2 linked regions of the Rattus norvegicus genome follow. The protein of the gene in region 1 binds, or shares a complex with, the protein of each later gene. Links are inferred from orthologs where the notes say so. Each region holds a gene or a part of one and is shown in the gene's direction. Other genes may lie near its edges.

Region 1 (4,162 bases):
ACCCTGGTCTTTTAGCTCATGGTGTGTGATATCTGATAAAATCAAGGCAGTCTCTGCTCCGTGAACCTGGCAGGCTTGGACGGATCCATCCATCTCATTCAGTGACTAGGACCACACCCAGTTGTTGCCCTTTGAACCTGGAAAGCCAGCTAGGGCATTTTTTATCTCTGACATCAGCTGAACCCCTCTTTTCCTAGCTGAATTCCCTAGAGTCCAACCCTGCCCTGTGGTTCATTTAGCAAAATCTCCAGGGATCAAGGATCCCCACCCTGGCCTAGCCATGTGGTCAGGGTAAATGAAGTGGTGAGGAGGAGGCTCAGGCAGGAGTGGGAGGACCTGAGTTCATCCTATGTGGTCATGGCCCAGCCATGAGGCCTGGCCGGTGATGTCATCTCTCAGTGGGCGGCTGTGGTGAGACAGTGCCCAGTTCTGACAGAGAGAGGCCTGGAGCTTTGGGAAGGTTTTCAGACATCTAAAGCAAAAGACCCAGAGTAATGAGGGAGGGCTATGTAGGCCCTTTCAACAGAACACCCCCTACCATTCTCCTGGCCCCACTTAGGGGCTTCCTCTCATCTCTGAGAGCTTGTAGGGCAGAGGAGAGGAAGCAAGAGAGGAGGAAGCAGGTCTAATGGAGGGCTGGGTTGTGTCCTCTGGGATTCTTGTCTTCCATCAGATACTGGCTCCCCAAACCCCAGCTCCTCCAGTGGTTGAAAGGTTCTATTTGCATCTTACCACCCACCAAGGCTCTGCCAGGCCCTACCCTGGGGGCACTGCTGTGTTTCTCAGACAGCAGGAGCAGCTGACTGGGACACAGCCTTGTCCTTTGGGAGTGGAAGAGGGAAGGCAGGTAACATAACAGAGCTCCAGTGATTTTCTAAAATAAACATTGAAGAGAAAGAGAGGAGATGAGGGTCACAGTGGACCCAAGACCAATGGCTCAGCCCGCATCCCTGTTCTTGCTCCCAGTTCCCCAGCCCTGCCCCAGCTCCCCAGACCTATGGCTCCATCCCCGAGTCCTGCTTCAGCCCCCAACCCTGACTCAGCCTCCTTAGGTCTATGGCTCCAGAGCCTTGCCCTGGCTTCCCACGCCTATTCTCCACTCCTGGTTCTCAAGATTTTTTACACCTTATGTGTGGTGCCTGTAAGTTGAGTCCTCAGCTAACTTCCTGGAAGTCCAAGCTGCAATATGACCTCATGTCCCCTGTTAGTGCCGGCCGGCCAGCGGGATCCCCCTTGGTAGAGGCCATCTGTAAAGGATCATAAAATGAGGCGGTGCCTGGCAGGGGCGAAGGTCGCCAAGGCAGGAATTGTACCAGCCCTGGAGCAGGAATTGTACCAGCCCTGGAACCAAGCCGGCCGGACCCTTCTTCCAGGTGACAGCTGCCACCATGGGGGCTCCGGCCCTCCTGTGGCCTCCCCTGCTGTTGCCATTGCTCACGGTGCTGTTTGGCCACCTTCCAGGGACCTTGGCCCAGGCTCAGGGTAGGTACTGAACATGGGCAGGATGGGTGGGTGGCAGAGCTGGGCTGGGAGGAACCAACTTCTCCTTTGCAACTTTCTAGTCTGCTCTGCGAACCAGACCGTGTTTACAATGAACGAGAACACCACTGTTTCTGGGCCACTGGCGGACATTTTTGTCCCAGAAGACCAGTATGTGACCTTGGGACAGTTGTCCACCCCTAATGCCTTTAAGGTTGAGGGCAATAAGCTGTTTCTCATCGTGACTCCAGATTATGAGGTACAGACTGTAGACCGAATAGAATATGCCTTCATGGGGACACAAATGGGCATCCACTCCCCTAACCTGGGAAAGATTCAGGGAAAGAGGGACTGAAGGGATCTATATGCTCCTGGCAGTGAGGAGCCCTTTCAGGCCCAGTGGTTGGTTAGATGGTTGGTTGGTTGGTTGGTTGGTACTGAGGGGTAGGGCCATAAGGGGACAAAGTTGCCAAATGTCCCCTATACCCAGGATTTCCCACAGATGACTGGGGCGCTGGAGCGCTCCCTGCTCTCCTAGCTGTACTCTCCTATCCTATAGGAGGATAGTTCCCTATGTGGCAAGTGACTCATAGGGCCCCTGGCTTTATCCTCAGGAAAACTCTTTGCTGGAGGCAGTCCTGGAGTGTAAGAGAGGAGATACTTTGGTAAGTTAACCCCATTACCTGACCACCTGGGCCTTTTGTCAGAGTACCCCAAGACCACTCCTCCAAGACCTTACCCCCAGGGAGTCTGAACATCAACTCTCTCCTAGCCACTTCCATGATTCTTTTAGCCTAGATTCTGCCCTGAGCTCCAGACTCAAACTCAGCTAACGTAGAGCCCAGTATTAAGTCAGTACCTTGAGACCCTAAGTAGGCCCCTCACCCCTCACCTGGGAGACACCTTCACCTGCCAGCCACTTCTGATGTCACCCCATCCAAGGAACACTGTTGGCACGGTTGACTGTACCTCAGTTAGAGTCGGATTTACTCTTCCTACCTCTAGTCCGTCCCATGGGGCCCTGGCCAGTGGCTCTCCTTTCTGACCCTTCTTGCACATCCACTTGCTGTTCTTGTCCTTGGCCCTCCTCTATTCCCTCTCTACACAGGGAATCCCGAAAGCTCATAGCCACAACCCCATGCAGCCTCACAGAAACTTCCACATTTTCTTACTGGAAGTCAAAGTCAAATGCACAAGTGGGTGGGCAAGGCTGTGGTATGCAGACACTGACCTGGTGTGCAAATTCATTTTGATGCCTAACCCTCCTACTTTATACTGTCCCCTACCCTATCCCATACATCTTATCCTCCATCAATAGCCTTTTACTAAAGGACACTAGAAGAAGTAACAGGCCCCACACACTTCCTGCTTCACTGTGAGCAACTCTCACACCCTGCACTCCTGCCGGGCACCACGACATGTTACCCACACACATCTTGGCCTATGTCTCTAATAGATCATAATAATTAAAAACAAAACGAAATTCTTTTTTGGGTAAAGTTTAGTGTTAGACTTCTGTCTTAATCAGGGTTTCTATTCCTGCACCAATATTATGACCAAGAAGCAAGTTGGTGAGGAAAGGGTTATTCAGCTTACACTTCCACATTGCTGTTCATCACCAAAGGAAGTCAGGACAGGAACTCAAGTAGGTCAGGAAGAAGGAGCTGATGCAGAGGCCATGGAGGGATATTAGTTACTGGCTTTCTTTTTTTTCTTAAGATTTATTTATTTATTATGTATGAGTACACTGTAGCTGTCTTCAGACACACCAGAAGAGAGAGGGCATCAGATCCCATTACAGATGGTTGTGAGCCACCATGTGGTTGCTGGGAATTGAACTCAGGATCTCTGGAAGAGCAGTCAGCGCTCTTAACCACTGAGCCATCCCTCCAGCCCCATTGGGTTGCTTTCTTATAGAACCCAGGACCACTATCCCAGGGACAACACCATCCACAATGGGCTGGGCCCTCCCCTCTTGATCACTAGTTGAGAAAATGCCTTACAGCTGGATCTCATGGAGGCGTTTCCTCAACTGAGGCTCCTTTCTCTGTGATAACTCCAGCTTGTGTGAGGTTGACACACAAAACCAGCCAGGACAAATACCTGCCTAGTATGATTGAAGCCCTGTGCTCCACCTTCAACACACAAATATACTTCCCACACAGACACACAGACACACAAGAGACAGAGAGAGACAGAGACAGAAACAGAAAGACACAGACAGAGAGAGACAGAGAGACAGAGAAAGAGACAGAGACACAGAGAGACAGAGAGGCACAGAGAGAGCCCTGGCCTTGACATCTGTCACAGCTGAGAAGAGCAGCTTTCCGTCTCTGTCCTCCAGCACCTGGCTGTGTTCATGTCTCCCTGGGTCTCAGGAAGGGCTGTCATGGGAATGAGCTGTTTGCTTTCGACCTGAAGGCCCTTTTCCCACTATCCTTTTGGAGACCTGTTTTTGAAGTCGTGAGATGCTGTTTTTCTCCCTTTGATATTTTGCTGGTTGTGCCCCCAGGATTGTCATTCTCTCTCTTCAGCGCACCCACCACATGCACGTGGCCACACTCTAAAACTTGTCTTTACAGTTTGAGTGCATTCCTCCTAGAACAGGAGCTCCTAGGCCATCACATTGTTGATGCCACCAGTGTCTGTGGAATGAAAGACAAAGAATGACTGACTAACTGAA
Region 2 (4,152 bases), about 22 Mb from region 1:
GCAATTCCTTAAAGCTAAATAGAAATTACAACAAAACCCAGAAATTCCACACCTTGCTATATGCCCAAGAGATGTAAAAATATATGTTTACACAGGAACATCTATGTGACTGTTCTTAATAACATTTTTCATCATTAACTTAATGGACACAACCTAAACATCCAACCAGTATGAGAATTAAATGATAAAGGGTATTTGATATGCTAGTATAGAAGAATATTATTCAACAATTTAAAAAATCCTTCAAAACATATTCCTTTTAAATAAAGGCCACAAAACTATGTCACAGGATTCCAGTGACATAAAGTGCTCACAATTGCAGCTATATAGAGAGAAAATTGATTCATGGTTTCCTAGGGTTGGGAGTAGGAATTAGTTGCTAACAAACACAAAGGATATCTTTTAAAAGTTCTGTTGTTACATTTATTCATTTTTCTATGTGGTATGGGAGAGTCTGAGTTGGAGTGGGTTGAGGAATGGTTTTAGTGTGGAGAAAACATTGCAAAACTGAGTTTACAAGAGGGCAATTGGCATGTGTTTGAATTTACCAGTCTGACAAAACTAGAATTTAATAAACTCATTGACAAAAAAAGACCACCTACATGAAATAGTGCTGTACATGAATGGGATCTGTTGAAGCTGTCCACAGCAATCTCCACCATGCAAATGAGGGTAGCCTTGATTGGCTGATATTTGATTTCCAGAGGATACTGGGTTCACATGGTATAGCCTGTGGTTATACTTGGTTTAGATTGGCCTTCCTTATTTATATCATTCTACACTGGAAAGTGGTGAAGCTTTCTAGACCAAACTTTTTTATTTTTTTATTTTTTTTTGTGGGAGTTCCTGGAGAACCACCTGTTTGTCTTCCAGCCTGCCATCAGCCTTCTGTCCTCCACTGTTATGGTAAAGATTTCACAGCTGTGAATTTACCCAGATCTTTGATTTTATATTTCAAATGGTTAAATTCAACTTGTACAGACTATACCTGTAAAAATCTACTAAAACACTCCTTCTCCCATACCAGTGAACTTAACCAGTTTTGAGTTTTTTGATTATTTCCCATATTCTGTACCTAGGTGGTCAGTATCACATCTGACACTTGTTAATGGGCACAGTAAAGATTAAATGTGCTTCATCACATGCATGAGAGACACCAGAGGCCTCAATGTTCATTGTTATGGTTGGTCTTAAAAGTAAAGGTCCAAGTCCAGGACTGTAGGCCTTCTGGATGCCTTCCAAGAAGCGAGGGTGAAGTGAGCTTTGGCCTGGAGTAATACTCCCTGTCACTGATTAACCAGCCCCGTTGGAAGACTTGTGTGACCAGCACTGCCTAGACAAAGACACCTGGACAAGCTCTGGTGGGCAGAAAAATGTCTACCCGCTATCACCAAGCAGCAAGTGACAGCTACCTGGAACTTCTGAAGGAGGCCACTAAGCGTGATCTAAATCTCTCAGATGAGGATGGCATGACACCCACTCTCCTGGCAGCCTACCACGGCAACCTTGAGGCCCTAGAAATAATCTGCAGTAGAGGGTGAGTGATCCCTGTTAGGGCATCCTGGGTGGGGAATGCCACTCTGGCAGTGAGAGACAGAGATGTCCACATAGACATTTTGCTTCTTTGTAGGTCCTCTAAGTAGTTGGCTTTTAGAGAAAGAAAGACTAAGCTAGGTATGGTTTCTTTCCCTGTGAAACAGCCATTTAGAAGTCACTCAGGCAGAGGTGGGTAGGGTGTGGATTGTAACTATATGCCCTGAAAATCACCTCCATTGAATTTAAATGGTTAACTCTTTAAAAGGAGGTCACCATGCTTATTGGTTCAGTGATCTTCCTTGGTTAGGACATGGCTTTATTTTACTTTTCCAATCTTGTCACTAAAATCTATCTTTACAAGTACTCAGCCTTGATGTAAACTCCTGGTTCTTCTGGCTTTGCCATCTATAACATGAGTCTTCAGTCCATCTTTACACACACACACACACACACACACACACACACACACACACCCCATCCCTTAGCTTTAGATTCCAGTCTTTGCTAACTCTTTTATTCTGCTCACCCTGCTCATTGCCAGAGAGCTAGTCAGGGTAGGCAGTTACACTTAGATGGAGAGAAATGGAGCAAAAGAGGAGTTTGGGTGAGTGAGAAGAGTGGGGGGAAGAGGGAGAGGTAAAGAGTAAGGGAGTCAAATGACTCCAGTACAGTGCATATTTAGCATCTGGTAGGTGACAGTCCACCTCTCCCCCTTCTCTCCCCTTCTTCTGCTTTCTCTTTCTTCCACTCCCTCCTCTTCTGATTTTTCTTCTCATATATTTTTGGTGCTGTCCAGATGGTCCCTATCAACAAAACATCCTGGTGCTCTTGTGGCACTCAGATCTGAGAGGGGAAGCCAAGCAAGCAGCTTATGGTAGATGTGACAAAGTCTGTTCCAGGGAAGGGAAATTAAGCTAGTAGAGAAAGACGGGGAGCTGATCAAGGCTGAGGGAAGTGCTTTCCCCCTAAGGCAGAGAGCACTGTGCATTCCAAGGGTAGAAGACGTTGAGTTTGGCTGGACATGACTTGCACAGGAACAGACCTAAGCCATAAGACTGGACTATCAGGGGCCTTGAGACTTCTGTTCAGGACTTGAATCTCCTCCTGAGAGCCTAGAAACCACACCCTCTATTTACAGAGGAAGCAGTCACATAGATTTATGCTTATGAATATCGTTCTGGCGATTGTACATTAGTCACAGAGAATGTCTAGGGACGTTCAAGGTAAAAGTGAACTAACATGGTATCACTGGGTGTGAGTAGACACGGAGCTTTGAGTGACAGTTTGGATGTCAGATAGTGATTGGATGTGGCAAGTAAAGGAGGAGGAGGGTCAACATCTGTTTGGATTAAACAGATTGTAGATATGGACACCTCATTGAGTTGGGGAACATGTCAGAAAGAGCACGCCTACTCTCTATACCAAATCTTCTGAAACTTTATTCAAGATAGGTCTTTCTTCTTTTGAGTTAATGTCTCAATTTTGTTATAGCAATTAAATACATAACACACTTAATTTAATTTATAAGGATACCTTAATATTATAATCAGCAAATTTATTTCTTAGTTTATCCCCCTGTTTGATACATAATTCTTTTTTTCTAGTTTGCAGTGTTGTGGTGATTATTCCTCCACATAAGTCCTTGTCCATATTTTTTTCCCCGAGTGTAAATTCTCAGAACTGAAGTTTTTGGGTCAGTTGCCTGCACTTGTGCTATGATCACAAAATGCCTCGGGCAAAGTAATTTACAGAGGATAAAACTTATTCTATAGTTTTAAGAGCAGCCAGGAAGTCTAAGATCAAGTTGGCAAGAAGTTCAGTGCAGGGAGAGATCTTTCCATGCTGGCTCCTTATTGCTGCCACATCTGGGGTGAGGGGGACAGGGACGGAGCCCTCACATAGTAGGAGAGAGAAGATGCACGCGAACAAAATTCTGGAAAAGCAAGTTCCTTTCTTTGACAAGGAACCCCTTTACATGGTGAAGGCGGGGTTCCTGGTGAGGATGAAAACGCCAATGCTGAGCTGCCATGCACTTTCGTCTTTGTGAGCTGCGTGTCTGTAACATTGCCCCACTTTTATATGTCTATATAAAAGTGTGTGTGTCTGTGTCTATGTGTGTGTGTATGTGTCTGTGTGTGTCTGTGTGTGTGTGTAAGTATGTCTATGTGTGTATATATGTGTATGTGTGTATGTGTAAGTATGTCTATGTGTGTGTAAGTATGCCTATGTGTGTGTGTGTGTATGTGTGTATGTATGTGTCTGTGTGTGTATGTGTGTGTGTGTAAGTATGTCTATGTGTGTGTAAGTATGCCTATGTGTGTGTGTGTGTATGTGTGTATGTGTAAGTATGTCTATGTGTGTGTGTAAGTATGTCAATGTGTGTGTGTATGTCTATGTCTGTGTGTGTGTGTCTGTGTGTGTGTGTGTGTGTATGTATGTGTCTGTGTGTGTATGTGTGTATGTGTGTGTGTCTGTGTGTGTATGTGTCTGTGTGTGTATGTGTGTGTGTGTAAGTATGTCTATGTGTGTGTAAGTATGCCTATGTGTGTGTATGTCTATGTCTATGTGTGTATATATGTGTCTGTGTGTGTATGTGTGTGTGTAAGTATGTCTATG

What was found. Proteins that work in one complex are often made in the same cells at the same time.
Region 2: Cdhr5 (region 1) and Anks4b share a complex: the UniProt entries of both Homo sapiens proteins name them as parts of the IMAC/intermicrovillar adhesion complex. The link is inferred for Rattus norvegicus from reciprocal best matches to the Homo sapiens genes CDHR5 and ANKS4B.

Annotation. Positions count from the first base shown.
Region 1 is NC_086019.1:205,808,280-205,812,441, reverse strand, and holds the start of Cdhr5 (cadherin-related family member 5 precursor), read left to right. Parts: upstream 1-1,349; 5' UTR 1,350-1,388; coding exon 1,389-1,482; intron 1,483-1,562; coding exon 1,563-1,738; intron 1,739-2,093; coding exon 2,094-2,144; intron 2,145-4,162. UniProt on the Homo sapiens protein: Intermicrovillar adhesion molecule that forms, via its extracellular domain, calcium-dependent heterophilic complexes with CDHR2 on adjacent microvilli. Thereby, controls the packing of microvilli at the apical membrane of epithelial cells.
Region 2 is NC_086019.1:183,977,450-183,981,601, forward strand, and holds the start of Anks4b (ankyrin repeat and SAM domain-containing protein 4B), read left to right. Parts: upstream 1-1,352; 5' UTR 1,353-1,373; coding exon 1,374-1,537; intron 1,538-4,152. UniProt on the Homo sapiens protein: As part of the intermicrovillar adhesion complex/IMAC plays a role in epithelial brush border differentiation, controlling microvilli organization and length. Plays a role in assembly of the complex.